Kluyveromyces lactis: one gene and its partners. The protein of the gene in region 1 purifies or fractionates together with the protein of each later gene. This does not show direct contact. Links are inferred from orthologs where the notes say so. Each region holds a gene or a part of one and is shown in the gene's direction. Other genes may lie near its edges.

What was found. The genes of interacting proteins can lie anywhere in the genome.
Region 2: the proteins of CMR1 (region 1) and CCT2 purify together in Saccharomyces cerevisiae (affinity purification with mass spectrometry; 3 studies listed by BioGRID, with this or other methods). This does not show direct contact. The link is inferred for Kluyveromyces lactis from reciprocal best matches to the Saccharomyces cerevisiae genes CMR1 and CCT2.
Region 3: the proteins of CMR1 (region 1) and TOP2 purify together in Saccharomyces cerevisiae (affinity purification with mass spectrometry; 3 studies listed by BioGRID). This does not show direct contact. The link is inferred for Kluyveromyces lactis from reciprocal best matches to the Saccharomyces cerevisiae genes CMR1 and TOP2.

What each region holds. Positions count from the first base shown.
Region 1 is NC_006039.1:1,446,905-1,452,303, reverse strand, and holds CMR1 (Cmr1p), read left to right. Parts: upstream 1-1,899; coding exon 1,900-3,438; downstream 3,439-5,399. Other genes in the region: mitogen-activated protein kinase kinase STE7, read left to right, coding at 1-1,123; DMO2 (Dmo2p), read right to left, coding at 1,308-1,631; IAT4 (Iat4p), read right to left, coding at 3,977-4,702. UniProt on the Saccharomyces cerevisiae protein: DNA-binding protein that binds to both single- and double-stranded DNA. Binds preferentially to UV-damaged DNA in vitro. May be involved in DNA-metabolic processes.
Region 2 is NC_006039.1:984,037-989,463, reverse strand, and holds CCT2 (chaperonin-containing T-complex subunit CCT2), read left to right. Parts: upstream 1-2,464; coding exon 2,465-4,054; downstream 4,055-5,427. Other genes in the region: RIM8 (Rim8p), read left to right, coding at 200-1,918; END3 (End3p), read right to left, coding at 4,205-5,347. UniProt on the Saccharomyces cerevisiae protein: Molecular chaperone; assists the folding of proteins upon ATP hydrolysis. Known to play a role, in vitro, in the folding of actin and tubulin. In yeast may play a role in mitotic spindle formation.
Region 3 is NC_006039.1:1,182,028-1,188,206, forward strand, and holds the start of TOP2 (DNA topoisomerase 2), read left to right. Parts: upstream 1-2,506; coding exon 2,507-6,179. Other genes in the region: NST1 (Nst1p), read left to right, coding at 1-720; Rho family GTPase RHO2, read left to right, coding at 1,385-1,948. UniProt on the Saccharomyces cerevisiae protein: Control of topological states of DNA by transient breakage and subsequent rejoining of DNA strands. Topoisomerase II makes double-strand breaks. Essential during mitosis and meiosis for proper segregation of daughter chromosomes.

The sequences.
Region 1 (5,399 bases):
AGGAGTCAGTATGATGCAACAGGAGACAGATGAAACGGCCACATTGACTACTCAGATTGCTCGACTTTCTTTAACCCCAGAGAACGGAATTCAACTCGAAAACCTTGTACGATTGAGCAAGATTGGAGCGGGAAATTCGGGTACTGTGGTGAAGACTTTGCATGTACCTGATTCTAGAATCATAGCTAAGAAAACTATACCAGTAGAGAATAAGGAAGTGCTGAAAAATCAACTTGTTAGAGAACTAACCATCATGAAAAATGTTTCAGCCCATGATAACATTGTTGGTTTCTACGGTGCATTTTACAATCCATCCACCACTAACGAAATAGTGATTCTTATGGAATATATGGATTGTGGCTCGTTAGATAAGATTTTGTCAGTTTACAGATCTGATTGCCATAGGAAAAACGTTTCTATATCGTGCAAGACATCGTGGTTCAACGAAATGCCTCTCTCAAGGATCTCCTTTTGTGTTTTAAATGGACTTATCTATCTTTATGACTGCTATAAAATCATTCACAGGGACATCAAACCGTCCAATATATTGATAAACTCGAAGGGAGACGTAAAGATCTGCGATTTTGGTGTCTCTACTACTCTAATTAACTCTCTTGCGGATACCTTTGTCGGAACCTCCACTTACATGTCACCTGAACGTATCCAAGGTGGCAGATATACTACTAAAGGTGATGTGTGGTCATTAGGTCTTATGATCATCGAGCTCAGTAGTGGTGAGTTCCCACTAGGTGGACATCACGACACACCAGAAGGGATTCTTGATCTTTTACAGAGAATTGTCAATGAACCTGCTCCAAAACTGTCAAAAAATGAACATTACTCCATAGAAATGACAGATTTCGTGAACAGGTGTTGCATTAAGGAGGAGAGAGGACGATCATCTTTGAAAGAATTGATATGTCATGATTTCATCTGTAAGTATAACAACAGAGACACTATTGCAAAAGAATTCAGGCATTGGTGCAAAAAAGTGAAGAAGCGGATCAAAGAGGATAAGATGATAAGAAGAGAAGAGACAGAGAGAAGTAAGATCGAAAAAAGACAATTAGAGAAAGCAGCGTTGGCTGTTACAGCCGCAAGGTCTTCGAGTACAAGGCGATGAAATAAATTAAGAAATTGCACTATATTAGGATAAATTGATGTCCTAGTTTGCATCTCATCTCAATAACGATCATTATTACAGGAACGGACTATGGATCAGTAGCATAAAGAATTTATATACAACTTATTTAGGACTTTCATATAGAATCGGAAATATTCACTAATGTCACTAAATCGAAAAACTATTACCAAACCTTATACTTTTTCTCTTTATTCCATAACCATCCTTCCGTTCCTCTATATATTCCGAAGGCAATCAAGGCTCCACCGAATAATCTTGCTGAAGATACCCACCATTTTGGATTCAGTTTTGCGAACTGTTCAACGGTTACACCTTTCTTCTTTTCAGCTTCACCGTATTGGAACGGTTTACCGCTGGCTAGATACCCACCAAATCCCAATGAGAATGCGGTTGCCATTATTTGACATGGAATACAATCTCTTGTCTCTTCATCTGTTAGATCCCTTTGTGCTGGTGGATTAAATAAACTTGTGATATTACTCGACATATTGATTTCTATGACTGTAGCTATAGTCCGAGAATGATATAGGATATCCGGTTCTTATCAGCTACCTGTGAAAGTGAAAGCTCAGTAGTATGATTATCTAGTTCTTCTTTGTTGAAAAGTCATGTCATCGTATCTCATGGATTTCAATATTGCAAAACGAAATTGCAATCAGACATCAAAAGATTTAGCCCATACACGCGTTTTGATTAAAGGATAAGTCATTGAAAATGACCAAAGGTAATCAAAGGTGCCCAAACCGCGTTCAGCAATGGGAGAATTGACTGAATTTCAGAAGAAGCGACTGGAGAATATCAAAAGAAATAATGATCTATTAAAGAAATTGAATTTGAATAACGTCTCTTCACAGATTAAACGCGAAGCTGGCGTTGAAGATGAGCATCTAGATAGAAAACGTAAGAAAAAGGCAGGTAGCGCTAAGAAGGCTGTCAAAAAAGAACCCAAACCAGCTGCAATTCCAACTAGAAGGTCCAGAAGACTCAGAGGTGAAAATGTTGATGGAAACGGTATTCCCAATGTCAATGACAATCAGCTGCTGAAAATGGGTCAAAGTGATAGTACTCCTGAATTAGAAGCAATTGACGAGTTAAAGAACACAGCACTATCTGGAGATGTAAAACTAAGTGATTTGATTAAATCTGAGAATGAGGAAGAATTGCTAGATAAATTTAAGAGCTTTGCTAACAAAAATTTCTCTTCTGGTGATTTCTTCAAAGAGTTACAGCAACAACAGGTTCCAACACCTGAAATAAAACAACTACAAGAAGATTTTGATCTAAAACTATATGATATATTTCAACCCAATGAAATCAAATTAACTGCAGAACGTATTTCTGCGACTTTTTTCCATCCATCAGTTGACAAGAAACTTGTGATTTGTGGTGACACGGCTGGTAATGTTGGTTTGTGGAACGTTCGTGAAACTCAACCTGAGGATGAATTAGAGGAGCCTGATATTACTAAAGTGAAATTATTTACCAAAAATGTAGGAAGAATTGACACATACGCCACGGATAGCAGTAGGTTACTAGCAGCCTCATACGATGGATATTTAAGATCAATTAATCTACAAGATATGAACAGTGAAGAAATACTAGTGTTAAAGAATGAGTATGATGATCCATTAGGGATAAGTGATTTTCAATTCAACTATAATGATCCGAACGTCTTATTCATGACGACATTGAGCGGCGAATTCACTACGTTTGACGTTCGTACCAAACCAACAGAAATTAATTTGAAAAGATTGTCAGACAAAAAAATCGGTTCCTTCAGCATAAACCCTAAGCGGCCCTATGAAATAGCGACCGGATCATTAGATAGAACACTTAAAATATGGGATACAAGAAAAATTGTCAATAAACCAGAGTGGTCACAATACGAAGACTTCGCATCCCATGAAATTGTTGCTACATATGATTCTAGATTAAGTGTCTCCGCAGTATCATATTCTCCGATGGATGAAACATTAGTTTGCAATGGATACGATGACACAATTAGATTATTTGATGTCAGTGGAACACTTCCGGAAGATCTTCAACCAAAACTAACATTAAAACATAATTGTCAAACTGGAAGATGGACAAGTATATTGAAGGCAAGATTCAAGCTTAACATGGACGTTTTTGCTATTGCCAACATGAAAAGAGCAATTGATATATATACTAGCTCAGGTGTTCAACTTGCCCATCTACCGACAGCAACCGTTCCAGCAGTTATCAGCTGGCATCCGACACAGAATTGGGTAGTTGGCGGAAATTCAAGCGGTAAAGCCTTCTTGTTCACTTAATGATCAACGGAATCAGAAGATATAAAAGGACAGTAACGATGAAAAGCTACTTGTACGTTTTTGAGTGTATATATTTTGAGTTTAATTATCATTGATAATAACTAATGCTAAATATCGTTCTTTCTAAAGCGAGGAAAAACGAGTTAGTGTTAGGAGTTATTCGTATAATTTGTTCTGTTTTAATCGTAGTTGAAAAGAAATAGGATATCAGCTCGTTGATAAGCTATTACTTCAATAATATGATAGTGAAATCAAAGATACTATTGAAGTAAATGAGTCAACAATAACCCAGTTGACAGGAAAAAAACTTCGAATCGTAATAACATCCATATGAGAGAATGAGGGGGTAATGCTATGCTAAAGGGGATTCTATCAAAAAAAAGAGCTCTTTAGTTGAGACTGCACGAATGCATTTAGAATGTAAATCATGTTATCAGAATCAAGAGTCTCATTTTTTGTTTGTAAAAGAGCGATGAAACGCGATAAGAGAAAGGGTAAGGCAAAGAAGTAGGTATACCTGATCGACAAATATGACGGTTCATGGTAGGGCACCTGGGATCTCATCCTTATAATAGATCATCAAGTGTCCTTTGAAACCTTCACCGTTAGGATCATAATTACCCTTGGAATCGACCTCGTTTTGACCGAAGTAGAAGTCCAAATAATTTCTGAATCCGAAATACTCGTAAACAGATTTAGCCTTATCAGATATGGCTTCTAAGACCATAGCACAATTCTCTTCATCTGCCCTCTTCTTGTATGAATCAAATATGGCTCTAACGGAGCCTCTGATTTCAGGATGAGTAAGATCCTTACCAATGATGAACAAATAGTAATAACCAATGCCTGGTGGTAACAACTCCTTTGTTCTGCGACCTAACTGAGTGAAGAAAACGTCATTGAACTTTGGATCATTGGTTTCACTTTGATGGAAATGAGTCTTCGGAGTAGTCCAAACGGCGACTGCGTCAAAATTGTTCGCTTCAACAACTTCTGCACCGAAATCATCGTAAAGATGCAAGAAATATTTCAACATGGAGTTGACTCTTTCCTTACTACATTTGTCGGTGATGGGAACGTTGAAGAATTTCTTCATCAAATAATCGTTAGCTGGAGAGTCCGCAAACGCTTTATCTAAACATTTGCTTGCTTTCTCCAAATCATGCGTTTGATTCAGTGGAATCACGGTTCTAGAATGACGTTCTTTGTTAATCTGCGAAGAAGCCTCTTCTCCGGGCGAAACTGGTGGTGAGATAACACTCATTGTTCAAAAGGCGTACTTTGTAATGTTGTAGTTTGTAATGACGACAATTGAATCCTTTCACTGATATACTACTCATCACCGATGCTAAATTAACAAAAACATGGGAGACGTAAACGGATCAGTTTTAAGGTATAGAAAACGACACTTTATATATATGTGACAAAGCCCGCTTGAAAAGACACTAATCTGGAAATCACAGATTAAGGTTTTTAGATTTATGAAACAAGCTTACAAACTGATGCCTAACAAGTGAAGTAGTCTTAGATACAGCAATCTTCGAACCTTTTCCGTCAAAAAGCTCGCTTATCTTTTTCTCTCTTGTGCATTCTGGTGATTTTGGCTAAGCTGGCTTTTTTTTTTTTTCTTTCCCCGAAATTGAGTCGTCCTGGAAATGCAATCAAACTGTTAAATGCGTAGTTAATCAGACAATACTGAACGAAAAGAAGGCTCGAACAGAAAGTTGCAGTTTTAAGACAGTTCGATGATATAGAATGCAGCATTCGATAATTATAGACCTACCGAGTAAACCTGCCATGGTGCCGCGCGGACGCATCAGTACTTTTAGTGAGGTTGCTCAATTTGTCGATTATTATCGCTTATTATCTGAGGCTTTAATGATTTCGCTACAGATAGGCCGCTTAACAGATATCTTTTAAGGGAGAAGTTCAAGTCACGTGTGACCAAATATTCTTTTTTG
Region 2 (5,427 bases), about 460 kb from region 1:
CATGGATCTTCGAGTATTTACTATCACGGATATATAAACCAAACGAACATAGAGTCCAAAGGGTGAAACAAGATAAGGGAGAGCTTTAGATTTTTGAAGACATAATTGTGCTTAGGTTGTGTGCCGGCTTGTATTTTTCTTTCGTGTTCCTTTCGTTTATTTTTGGCCTCCATATAAGAGCTTAAAGTCGAATTAGACCATGGGATTATTTGATAAACTTCTGCGGTCGAACGAACGAGCTGAGCGAGGTTCTCCTAGTGCATTTGTGGTGAGTAGCTTCGATTCAGTGAGCAATGCTGGCAAGAGCTCCATTTTCAAGCACTCCGGTATGAAATCGTACATTTTGGAGTTTGAAATTGTACTTGATGATGTGCACAGAGTGTGGAAACCGAACGAGACTATCAGTGGGACTGTGAAGCTTCGATTGAGAAAAGATGTGCCTAATGTTTGGATTAAACTTGCTCATATAGGAGAGTTTCAACTCCATTCCAATAACCCGATGACCGCAGGTTCTCTAAAATCGAAATACTCTGATACAGTGTTTTGCAGGTCCACGAGTATTTATGGTAGTGAGGAGAATCCATTACACTTGACTGGCGGTGAACACAAGTTTCCATTCTCTTGTAAAATTAATGGTAAGAACTTGGTGAGCTCGATAGATTTTAAGAAGGGTTCCATAAGATATTGGGTTCAAGCAGAGCTTCATGCCCAAAAGACGCCTCCTATCTTTTGCAAGCAGCATTACCAGTTGATTGTGCCAATAGACGTCGGCCAATTACCAAAGCCAAATATCAAGACGGTGGTCTTACAATCACCCAACTCAAGCAATAATGGAATCCATGTTAGAAGACTTATGGCAGCAGGTTCTGCAGACCCACAAGACGGGGCTTCGTCTCTGACTAGGAAAACAGGCGGATCCTCTACTATCACTAATGGTTCATCAAGCTCAAATAATTCAGGTAATTCCAACGCTTCCATGCTCGCTGATAACAAGACTGTCAAGATCTCGGTAGAGATTCCCTGTCTAGGATACACCATCGGAGAAGAAATTCCGGTTAAAGTCCACGTCACTCATTACAAACAATACTTCCACCCTGCGGGGTTGATTGCAACGTTGGTCAGAATCTCTCGGGTTTCAAACCCTAGAAATACAGAACAGATCGAAACATTTAGAAAAGATATCTGTCAAGGTGTTGCCCCATTATATACAGACCCCGAAACGCATGAAGCTGTTATAATGTTGAAACTAAAGGTTCCATTAGACACCTTCCCGAGTTTGGATTTAAAGAATAAGTTCTTCACTTTCCAGTATTACGTGGAGATCCTAGCAAATTTGTCAAGGAAGAATTTGGTATACACAGAGTCCAATAGACTTGTGGGTGGACAGAGAACTAGTAGTATACCGATGCCGTCGAACAAGTTTTCGATGTTCCAAGACCTCTCAAACCAGGGTGAGGTTACTGCTGGCGAAGATGATTCAGTAACGTTTTTCCAAGATTTGATTAATGTAGACAGACTCAAACGTCTAAGAAACGTTACAGGTATGTCAATCGAAGTTGTGATCGGAACACACAGAGAAGAACATGAGCCTGAATCGCCCACAGTGGACCGTCTGGATTCCCATTCTATCAACCAATTACCTGATGATGTGGATGCAGTTTACAACCAATGCTCTAGCGCTGAATCTCCAATAGACGAAGCTTACGACTATTTGTTACATAGACATAACGGGCCATCACCTTCCTCTCGTATCTTCACGGATACGGATATGACTTTGTGCTATCCGGCTGACCCTGTTCCACTGTATAGTCGTGGATTAGATGACTTCACTGGGTGTTCAATGTCAGGTGTTACAGATGATAAACAAGAACTAGAGCAAATGCGGTTGAAAGAATTGGAAAGCGAACCGCCCATATAATAAAAACAGTTATGAATAAGTTATCTCATAAAACTATATATAAGATATAATGCATACCCTAATCAATATACGTCGACAAGAGATCCCTTTGCCTGAAACGAGTAATGAGAACACATATTCTGGCATCAATGATCATTTAATATTTAAAGAACTCAAAATGACTTTCCAAGTTGAATTTAGTAATACCGTTTAAACAATGCACAATTAATAATTATTTGTTTGGTATATAAAACGCCATTACAGGTGTCATTTTTCGACCCAGCAATTACCGAGAGTTGCTATCAATGAGATCGTCTACCCCAAATTTGCGGACTGAAATGATGATAGAAGCAATGTTAATTATGATGTTTTCAGGTATTTCCCTTTCACGTGACGTTATATGCCTGTAGTTGATTTTTCGTCAGAAAAAAAAAAACTACTAAATTGTATGAAGATGGAATAAGTATGTTTGCAGAATACCAGATAAAATATCACGGTGGCCAATTCTTTTTGATCATCCTCTACTTCCAACAAAGTTAGCAACAGTCCGCCAAACATCAAGTAAGAATGAGCGTTCCGATTTTTGGGGATCAAGTTACCGAAGAAAGGGCTGAAAATGCTCGTATGAGTGCTTTTGTCGGTGCCATCGCTGTAGGTGATTTGGTGAAAACTACTCTAGGACCAAAAGGTATGGACAAGCTACTTCAAAGTGCATCTAACAACACTAGCATGGTAACAAATGATGGTGCTACTATTCTTAAATCGATTCCATTGGACAATCCCGCCGCTAAAGTTCTTGTGAACATTAGTAAAGTCCAAGATGATGAAGTTGGTGACGGTACTACCAGTGTTACAGTTTTAAGTGCTGAGCTATTGAGAGAGGCTGAGAAATTGGTCGAACAAGGAAAAATCCACCCACAAACCATTATTGAAGGTTTCAGAATTGCATCTGCGGCTGCTCTATCAGCATTGGAGAAGGCCGCTGTGGATAACTCGAATAATAAGGAAGAGTTCTACAACGATTTGATCAGCATTGCAAACACGACACTTTCATCTAAAATTTTGTCTCAAGATAAAGATCATTTCTCAAAATTGGCAACAGATGCCATTCTCAGATTGAAGGGTTCCACCAATTTGGAACATATTCAAATTATCAAGATCATTGGTGGTAAGCTTTCTGATTCTTTCTTAGATGAAGGATTTATCTTACCAAAAAGATTTGGTAGCAACCAGCCAAAGCGCGTGGAAAATGCTAAAATTTTGATTGCCAACACTTCTCTAGATACTGACAAGGTCAAGATCTTTGGTACCAAGTTCAAGGTTGATTCTACGTCTAAGCTTGCAGAATTAGAGAAAGCTGAACGTGAAAAAATGAAAAAGAAGATTGAAAAGATTGCTAATTTCAACATCAACACGTTCATCAACAGACAGTTGATATACGACTACCCTGAACAAATGTTTACAGATCTAGGAATTAACTCCATTGAACATGCTGATTTTGAAGGTGTGGAACGACTAGCACTTGTGACTGGTGGTGAAGTTGTTTCGACATTTGACAATCCAGAAAAATGTAAACTTGGTGAATGTAAGCTCATCGAGGAAATCATAATCGGTGAAGAAACTTTCACAAAGTTCAGTGGTTGTAAATCTGGTGAAGCTTGTACTATTGTACTAAGAGGTGCAACCGAACAAGTATTAGACGAAGCTGAAAGATCTCTACATGATGCTTTATCTGTCCTTTCACAAACAACAAAAGAAACCAGAACTGTTTTGGGTGGTGGTTGTGCCGAAATGATTATGTCAAAAGCTGTTGACACAGTAGGGCAAAATGTTGAAGGTAAGAAAGCACTTGCTGTAGAATCTTTTGCAAAAGCCCTAAGACAATTGCCTACTATTCTTGCGGACAACGCTGGTTTCGATAGTAGTGAATTGATCACAAAGTTAAGATCTTCGATTTACAACGGCATGAGTACATCAGGTTTGGATTTGGATAACGGCACCATTGCTGACATGAGAGAACTAGGGATCGTGGAAAGTTATAAATTGAAAAGAGCTGTAGTAACCTCAGCCAGCGAAGCAGCCGAAGTCCTCTTGAGAGTGGATAATATTATCAGGGCTAAACCAAGAACAGCCGATAGACAGCACGGTCATATGTAAATTAATTAAATTAGTACTAAGCAATCACCACAAACGTTTAAATTTCGTTCTAATATCCAAAAAGTTAAGCTAAGAAGTGAATTATCATTATACATGAAACAACGTAGTTCAAAATTTACTCCAGAAAGTATATAGGGTAGGTCAATAACCTCAGTAAAGAGATTGCACCTCTATCTTCAAATTATGCAGTTCCGACTTCTTTGTTTTCAGGTACTCCTCCAACATTTGTACTTGCTGCTCAATACTCTCTATATCATCCCTCAAACCTCCAACATCAACGCTTTCTGAAGAAGTATTGGAATTATTGACAAGGTTTTTTTGGTATTCCAAGAACTGTTCTAACTGTTGTTTTACTAATTTCATTCTATCATTTGAGTCATTATGAGAGGTGGATTGTTGCTGTGCTGACGATAATTCAGAGTCAATATTTGCCAATTCCCTTTGAAGTCTGACTACTTCCCAATCAGTTCCCTGAGTAACAGAAAAATCAGTACCACCACGTTTTGGTATTTGGTAAGATGAAGAGTTAGATGTGGATAGTGTTGGCCTTCTTACTTCGCTCTGCTTGGAAGACAAATCCGTGGAAACTCTAGTCTTTGTAAAAGTTTCTTTCAATGCTGAAGGTAAATGTGATGGTATTGGGCAAGCATAGTCGTTCACTTGTCTCAGAATATGAATAAAGTATAGTGCTGGATCCTTATCTATGGAAGTGTCAAGCTTAGGATTAACCAAACGCCACGTTTTTTCTAAATCTTGAGATGATAGATTGATATACTTCGATCTAACGGCGGAGGATAGTGAAACATAAGATACACTATTGTCTCTAGAGGTTATGGCTGATTCATAAATTGATTCGTATTGTGACTTATCATCTCTTGATATATACCAATCAACTTCTTTTTGATAATCGTCTACAGCTGGCGAAGATGTCGGAACATTGACCACAGAACTTGTTTCTGCTGTTCCGCTACTACGTTCAGTTTTTCTTTGTTTGACTAATTCGGCTTTTGAACCGGGAATCAACCAATCTGGCAATTCATCTGGTACAGAATCTATGTTTTTATTAACCATGTCAAATATCATTCTCATACAAATCACAAACTCTTCAAAATCTAGTTGATCATCATCATCGATATCGGCCAAAAACCATATTTTGTTAAGTATCGAGGTGTCCAATTTAGAATTGAAAAGGATAGGCAGTACTTGATCATGGGTCAACTTATTTTCCACCGGTTTCAATCCGGAGAAAATTTGCCAATACTTTTTGATCTCAAATTGTTCAAGCTTTGGCATCTTAAATTGGTATTTGAATTATCTGTGGAGTCAAGCGCGATTAAAATAGAGGTCAGATATCAAATTAACACTGAGCTCAA
Region 3 (6,179 bases), about 270 kb from region 1:
CAGCACGTTCAACAGAACCCAATCTCCTCGTCACACTCTCAACCAAGAAGATCTATTTGGGATACTGGAGCTGAAAATACCTTTGGTGTTGCCTCTGCTAACAATTTTGCTTCGAATATCTGGGATACACCTACATCTACTCCAGCACTTCCGAACACCCTGCTATCTTCCCAAGTTGCAGCAACATCTGTTGACTCATATGAGGAAGTCCTAGCCAAGACCTATAAGATGCTTTCTCCAGACAATAGTTTCGTTCCCTTGGACAAGCTATATCAAACATCATTGACTCAAATTAATGCCAAATCAGTACTGTCGTATCCCCAATTCATTTCCACTTTGGTTTCCATGAAGAATTCATACAATACTGAACTTTTGAATGATAACACGGGTTTATTGGCGTACTGCAGAATGGGTTCTGTTCCAGTACCATCAGGATTGCCTTCTTATAATAGACAAAATACTTTCCCTCATGCAACCACTCAAGTTCAGTCAGATTCGCAGCAAATAAACTCAGTTTCAACTCCTATATCGAACCCGCTACCTCAACCATCATCGGTATTTAACGATGTTCATTACAACCAAACAGCTACTACTTCACCAGCGAATCACGGGAATCCAATTCCAGGCCCAACGTCAACAATCGCATCAGATCCTTCGAACTTCGTGAACTTTGGTCAATCGTATCCAAACTCATATCAAACCGGCAATATCTGGAGCTGAATCATCCGATCCAACTAAATTATTTAAACGAGTGGATAGAAAAGAGAACATATCCGTTAAAATTTATTCCTTCTTCGTTTTACGTAGAACTGTAACGTCCAATATAAATGTAACAACACTATTATCTTTTTTTTTTCAATCAGACACCATCAATTGATAGATCATCATTGAATATTTGAACTCATTCAAAAACAGGGCTATAATTAATTTTAATAACTAAGCATAGTCCTATCTATTACACTGTCTCATTGATCACTTCTTCCTTTCTTTTTCGGGCTTCTACTGCTCGGCGGAACATGACAGACATTAATATGATATCATTTCGAAAAATAAAAGGCTCTTTGAAAAAGGCTAGAAAAAATGAAACTTGAAAGATAGAAAAATAGAAGGTTTGCTGTTTTAAAGAAATAAGAAACTGATTTCGAAGAATAAACATAGCGTACGCTCGAAGGAAACAAGGTCGAATCTTCCTTTATTTGCATGTATACGTGCCACCCTAATTTTCTATTTGCAATTGGGTACTTGAAAGTTTGAAGCAGTTCTCTGTTCTGGCACGATCTTACACTACGCTGTTTTCCAAACTTTGTCGGTTTTTGAATTTTAGCTATCAACATAATCAAGAAAGACGCAGTATCACTGCAAAACTTATGCAATATCATAAAATATGTCTACCAATCCAGTTAAAAGGAAACTAGTTATTATTGGTGACGGAGCATGTGGGAAAACATCTTTGTTATATGTTTTCACTTTGGGACAGTTTCCAGAAGAATATCATCCAACTGTCTTCGAGAATTATGTAACCGACTGTCGAGTGGACGGTATCAAAGTTCAACTAACACTATGGGACACAGCTGGCCAAGAGGAATATGAAAGACTAAGGCCCTTCTCGTATTCAAAGGCCGATATAATTCTCATTGGTTTTGCAATCGACGACCCGGAATCATTGGTGAATGCAAGAAATAAATGGTCAGAAGAAGTTCTCAGATATTGCCCTGAAGCTCCAGTAGTACTAGTTGGGTTGAAGAAAGACTTAAGATCACCGGATAATGAACATCAGATGGTAACACGGGAGCAAGCGGAGCAAGTTGCCAGGGCCATTGGTGCTAAAAAATATATGGAATGCAGTGCATTGACAGGAGAAAACGTTGATGATGTTTTCGAAGTAGCCACAAGGACAAGTCTCTTGGTAAATAAACAACCAGGTCACGGGTGCTGCGTAATATGTTGATACGAAAGAAGTGCTCATACATAAAAAATAAACTACAAACCAACACATACTATCTAATTCTTCTTTCTGCCGTATCTCGAGGCCGGACACTTTGTCTCGTTTGATCCAGCTAATTCAATGTTTCTAAATTGAAATCGACTCTAAATTAGCCCCCTCGCATAATAATTAATAAATTGGATCTCGTCAACGAATTTTTTGCTGCCTTCAGTATATATATGCAGTATTCTTCTTTGATTTATGTCACTTTTTAATATCAGCTGTAGATATGCCATCTAGTCTCTTTCAAAACGTTTTTTGGTCTTAGTGCGTTTTGTTACGCGTACTTTAATTCTAGAAAAATAAAAACAGGAAAAACATCTAAGGCTTTTGATGAGATCTAATGAACACTTCTATCTTGCGACAGAAGGAGTAGGGAACCAGGTCTTGTGTCTGTTTTATCAATACTGACTAGTACTCTCCTAAAATCTGATTAAATCATTAGCTGTCATTGGAGCTCAGGATTAGTGAAGAGAGCGTTTTTTCTGGTGTGTCTTTTTTGGACGTGTTGCTGATTTAAGAATGACACAGTCAAAGACCGTCTCTGAACGGTATCAGAAGATATCGCAATTAGAGCATATTTTAAAGAGACCAGATACATACATTGGTTCTGTTGAAGTACAGGAATCGCAACAATGGATTCATGATGAAACAACCGATTGTATGATTGAAAAAACTGTAAATATAGTCCCTGGTCTTTTCAAAATTTTCGATGAAATCTTGGTTAACGCTGCAGATAACAAGGTTCGTGATCCTAGTATGAAGAAGATTGATGTTGTCATTAATCAAGAGGAGAATACTATTGAAGTCAAGAATGATGGTAAGGGTATTCCCGTTGAAATTCATGATAAGGAAGGTATTTATATTCCTGAATTAATTTTTGGCCATCTTTTGACATCCTCTAATTACGATGACGATGAGAAGAAAGTTACAGGTGGTAGAAACGGTTACGGTGCTAAGCTTTGTAATATTTTTTCCACAGAATTCATACTAGAGACCGCTGATCCTTCTAGAGGGCATAAATATATCCAAAATTGGGAAAACAACATGTCTACGTGTCATCCGCCTAAAATTACGTCTTACAAGAAAGGTCCATCTTATACAAAGGTCATATTCAAACCAGATCTTCAAAGATTCGGGATGGACAAACTTGACGATGATATAGTTGGTGTTATGAGGCGTCGTGTCTATGATATCAATGGTTCCGTACGTGATGTGAACGTCTCATTGAATGGTAAAGCTTTAAAGATTCGTAACTTCAAAAACTACGTCGAGTTATACTTGAAATCACTAGAGAAGATCAAATTAAATAGACTTAGAGAGTCGAGTACCCCAGATGAACCAATGCAAGAGCCTACTAAAATCCCAACTATCTTATATGAAAGAATTAATGATCGTTGGGAAGTTGCATTTGCAGTATCGGAAAACTCATTTCAACAAATATCATTTGTTAATTCGATCGCCACTACATCAGGTGGTACACATGTTAACTATGTTACAGATCAAATTATAAAGAAAGTATCTGACCGCTTGAAGAAACAAAAGAAGACAATCAAACCTTTCCAAATTAAGAACAACATGTTTATTTTCATCAATTGCTTAATTGAGAACCCTGCATTCACTTCTCAAACCAAAGAACAATTAACGACAAGGGTCAAGGATTTCGGTTCCAAGTGCGAAGTCCCATCAGAATTCATCAATAAAATAATGAAGACTGATCTTGCGACGAAGATCTTTGAAATTGCCGATGAGAATGCTCATAAGCAATTGAAGAAAACTGATGGTTCAAGAAAGAACAGAATTACTGAGTACCCCAAACTTGAAGATGCAAATATGGCTGGAACAAAAGAAGGTTACAAATGTACTTTGGTTCTAACAGAAGGTGATTCTGCCTTGTCTCTTGCAGTTGCTGGGTTGGCTGTCGTTGGAAGAGATTATTATGGATGTTTCCCCTTAAGAGGTAAAATGTTAAATGTTAGGGAAGCGACCCCTGATCAAATCAGTAAGAACGCGGAAATTCAAGCCATAAAAAAAATTATGGGGTTGCAGCATAAGAAGCGGTACGAAGATACTACAACTTTAAGATATGGTCATATTATGATTATGACGGATCAAGATCACGATGGTTCACATATCAAAGGTTTGATCATTAATTTCCTGGAGAGTTCCTTCCCTGGTCTTCTCGATATTCCAGGATTTTTAATAGAATTTATCACACCCATCATTAAAATCACAATCTCAAGACCCAAGAAAGAAACCATTTCTTTCTATAACATGCCAGATTACGAAAAGTGGAGAGAAGAAGAGTCTCACAAGTACACTTGGAAACAGAAGTATTACAAGGGTTTGGGTACGTCGACACAACAGGAAGCACGTGAGTACTTTTCAGGTTTAGATAAGCACTTGAAGAAATTCCATGCCTTGCAAGGTGATGATTCTCAATTAATTGATCTAGCATTTTCAAAAAAGAAGGCGGACGACCGTAAAGAATGGCTAAAATTGTATGAGCCTGGTACTGTATTAGATCCAAAGCTAACAGAGATTCCAATCAGTGATTTTATCAATAAAGAATTAATTCTTTTCTCTCTAGCAGACAACATTAGATCTATTCCCTCTGTTTTAGATGGTTTGAAACCTGGTCAGAGGAAAGTTATCTATGCCTGCTTCAAACGTAATTTGAAAAGTGAAATCAAGGTCGCTCAATTAGGTGGTTATGTTTCAGAACATACAGGGTATCATCATGGTGAACAATCTTTGTATCAAACTATTGTCGGTCTAGCTCAGGATTTTGTTGGTTCCAATAATATTTACTTGTTGAAACCAAATGGTGCCTTCGGTACAAGAGCAACAGGTGGTAAAGATTCTGCTGCGCCAAGATATATCTTCACGGAGCTAAACAAACTTACGAGAAAAATTTTCAATACTCTCGACGATCCATTATTGAATTATATTCAAGATGATGAACAGACTGTAGAACCTGAATGGTATTTACCGGTTATTCCAATGGTTTTAGTAAATGGTACTGAAGGTATTGGTACGGGTTGGAGTACTAATATTCCTCCTTTCAATCCAATGGATATTGTCAATAATGTGAAGCGTCTGATGAAGGGAGAGGAAATGGAGCAGATGGCGCCATGGTACAGGGGATGGCAGGGATCCTTGGAGAAGATAGATCCACAAAAGTATCGTACTTATGGTAGAATCGAACAAATCGATGAAAATACGTTGGAAATAACGGAACTGCCTCCCAAGACTTGGACTTCCGTCATCAAGGAGCATTTACTATTGGGTTTAAGTGGTAATGATAAGGTTAAGCCTTGGATTAAAGACATACAAGAACAGCATGGAGCCACCATCAAGTTTATTATCACCTTGACTTCCGATGAAATGGAGAAGACGAGAAAAATAGGTTTCTATGAAAGATTCAAATTGGTTTCTACGGTAAGTCTCAGCAACATGGTTGCATTCGATCCTCAGGGGAAGATTAAAAAATACGATGATGTTCGTGACATTTTGTCTGACTTTTATTATACTCGACTCACCTATTATCAGAAGAGAAAAGATTATATTGGTGAAAGGCTAAAGTGGGAAGTTGAAAAGCTATCATATCAAGTTAAATTCATTATGATGATCGTTGAGAAAAAGTTATCAGTCAGTAACAAACCTCGTCCAGTCCTCTTCGAAGAATTAATGTCCTTGGGTTTCCCAAGAATCAACAAAGAAGGAAAACCAACCTACGGTAAAGTCGAGGAGCAAGCACAAATAGAAGCATTGAATGACGAAGATGATGATGATGATGACGAAGAGAAAAGCGAAGCAGAAGACAACGCTGAAGAAAGTGAAGATGTTGTAAACGGACCAGAAGAGAAATTTGGTAATTACGACTATTTGTTAGGTATGAAAATCTGGGCTTTGACAAAGGAAAGATATGAAAAGTTAATGAAACAAATGCAAGAGAAACAAACAGAATTGGAACGGCTATTAAAACTTTCTGCTAAAGATTTATGGGAAATTGATTTAGACGACTTCGTAGAACATTACGAAAAATTCATTCAGTACGACGAAGAGGTTCGTAACAGCATCGTTCCCGATGCAGCCACCACCAAGAAGGGTAAGAGAAGAAAGCGCGGTAAAAACGATGACAATGATTCAAAACAACCAAAAAAAAGAGCCAGAAAATCTGTCAAGAGAGAAT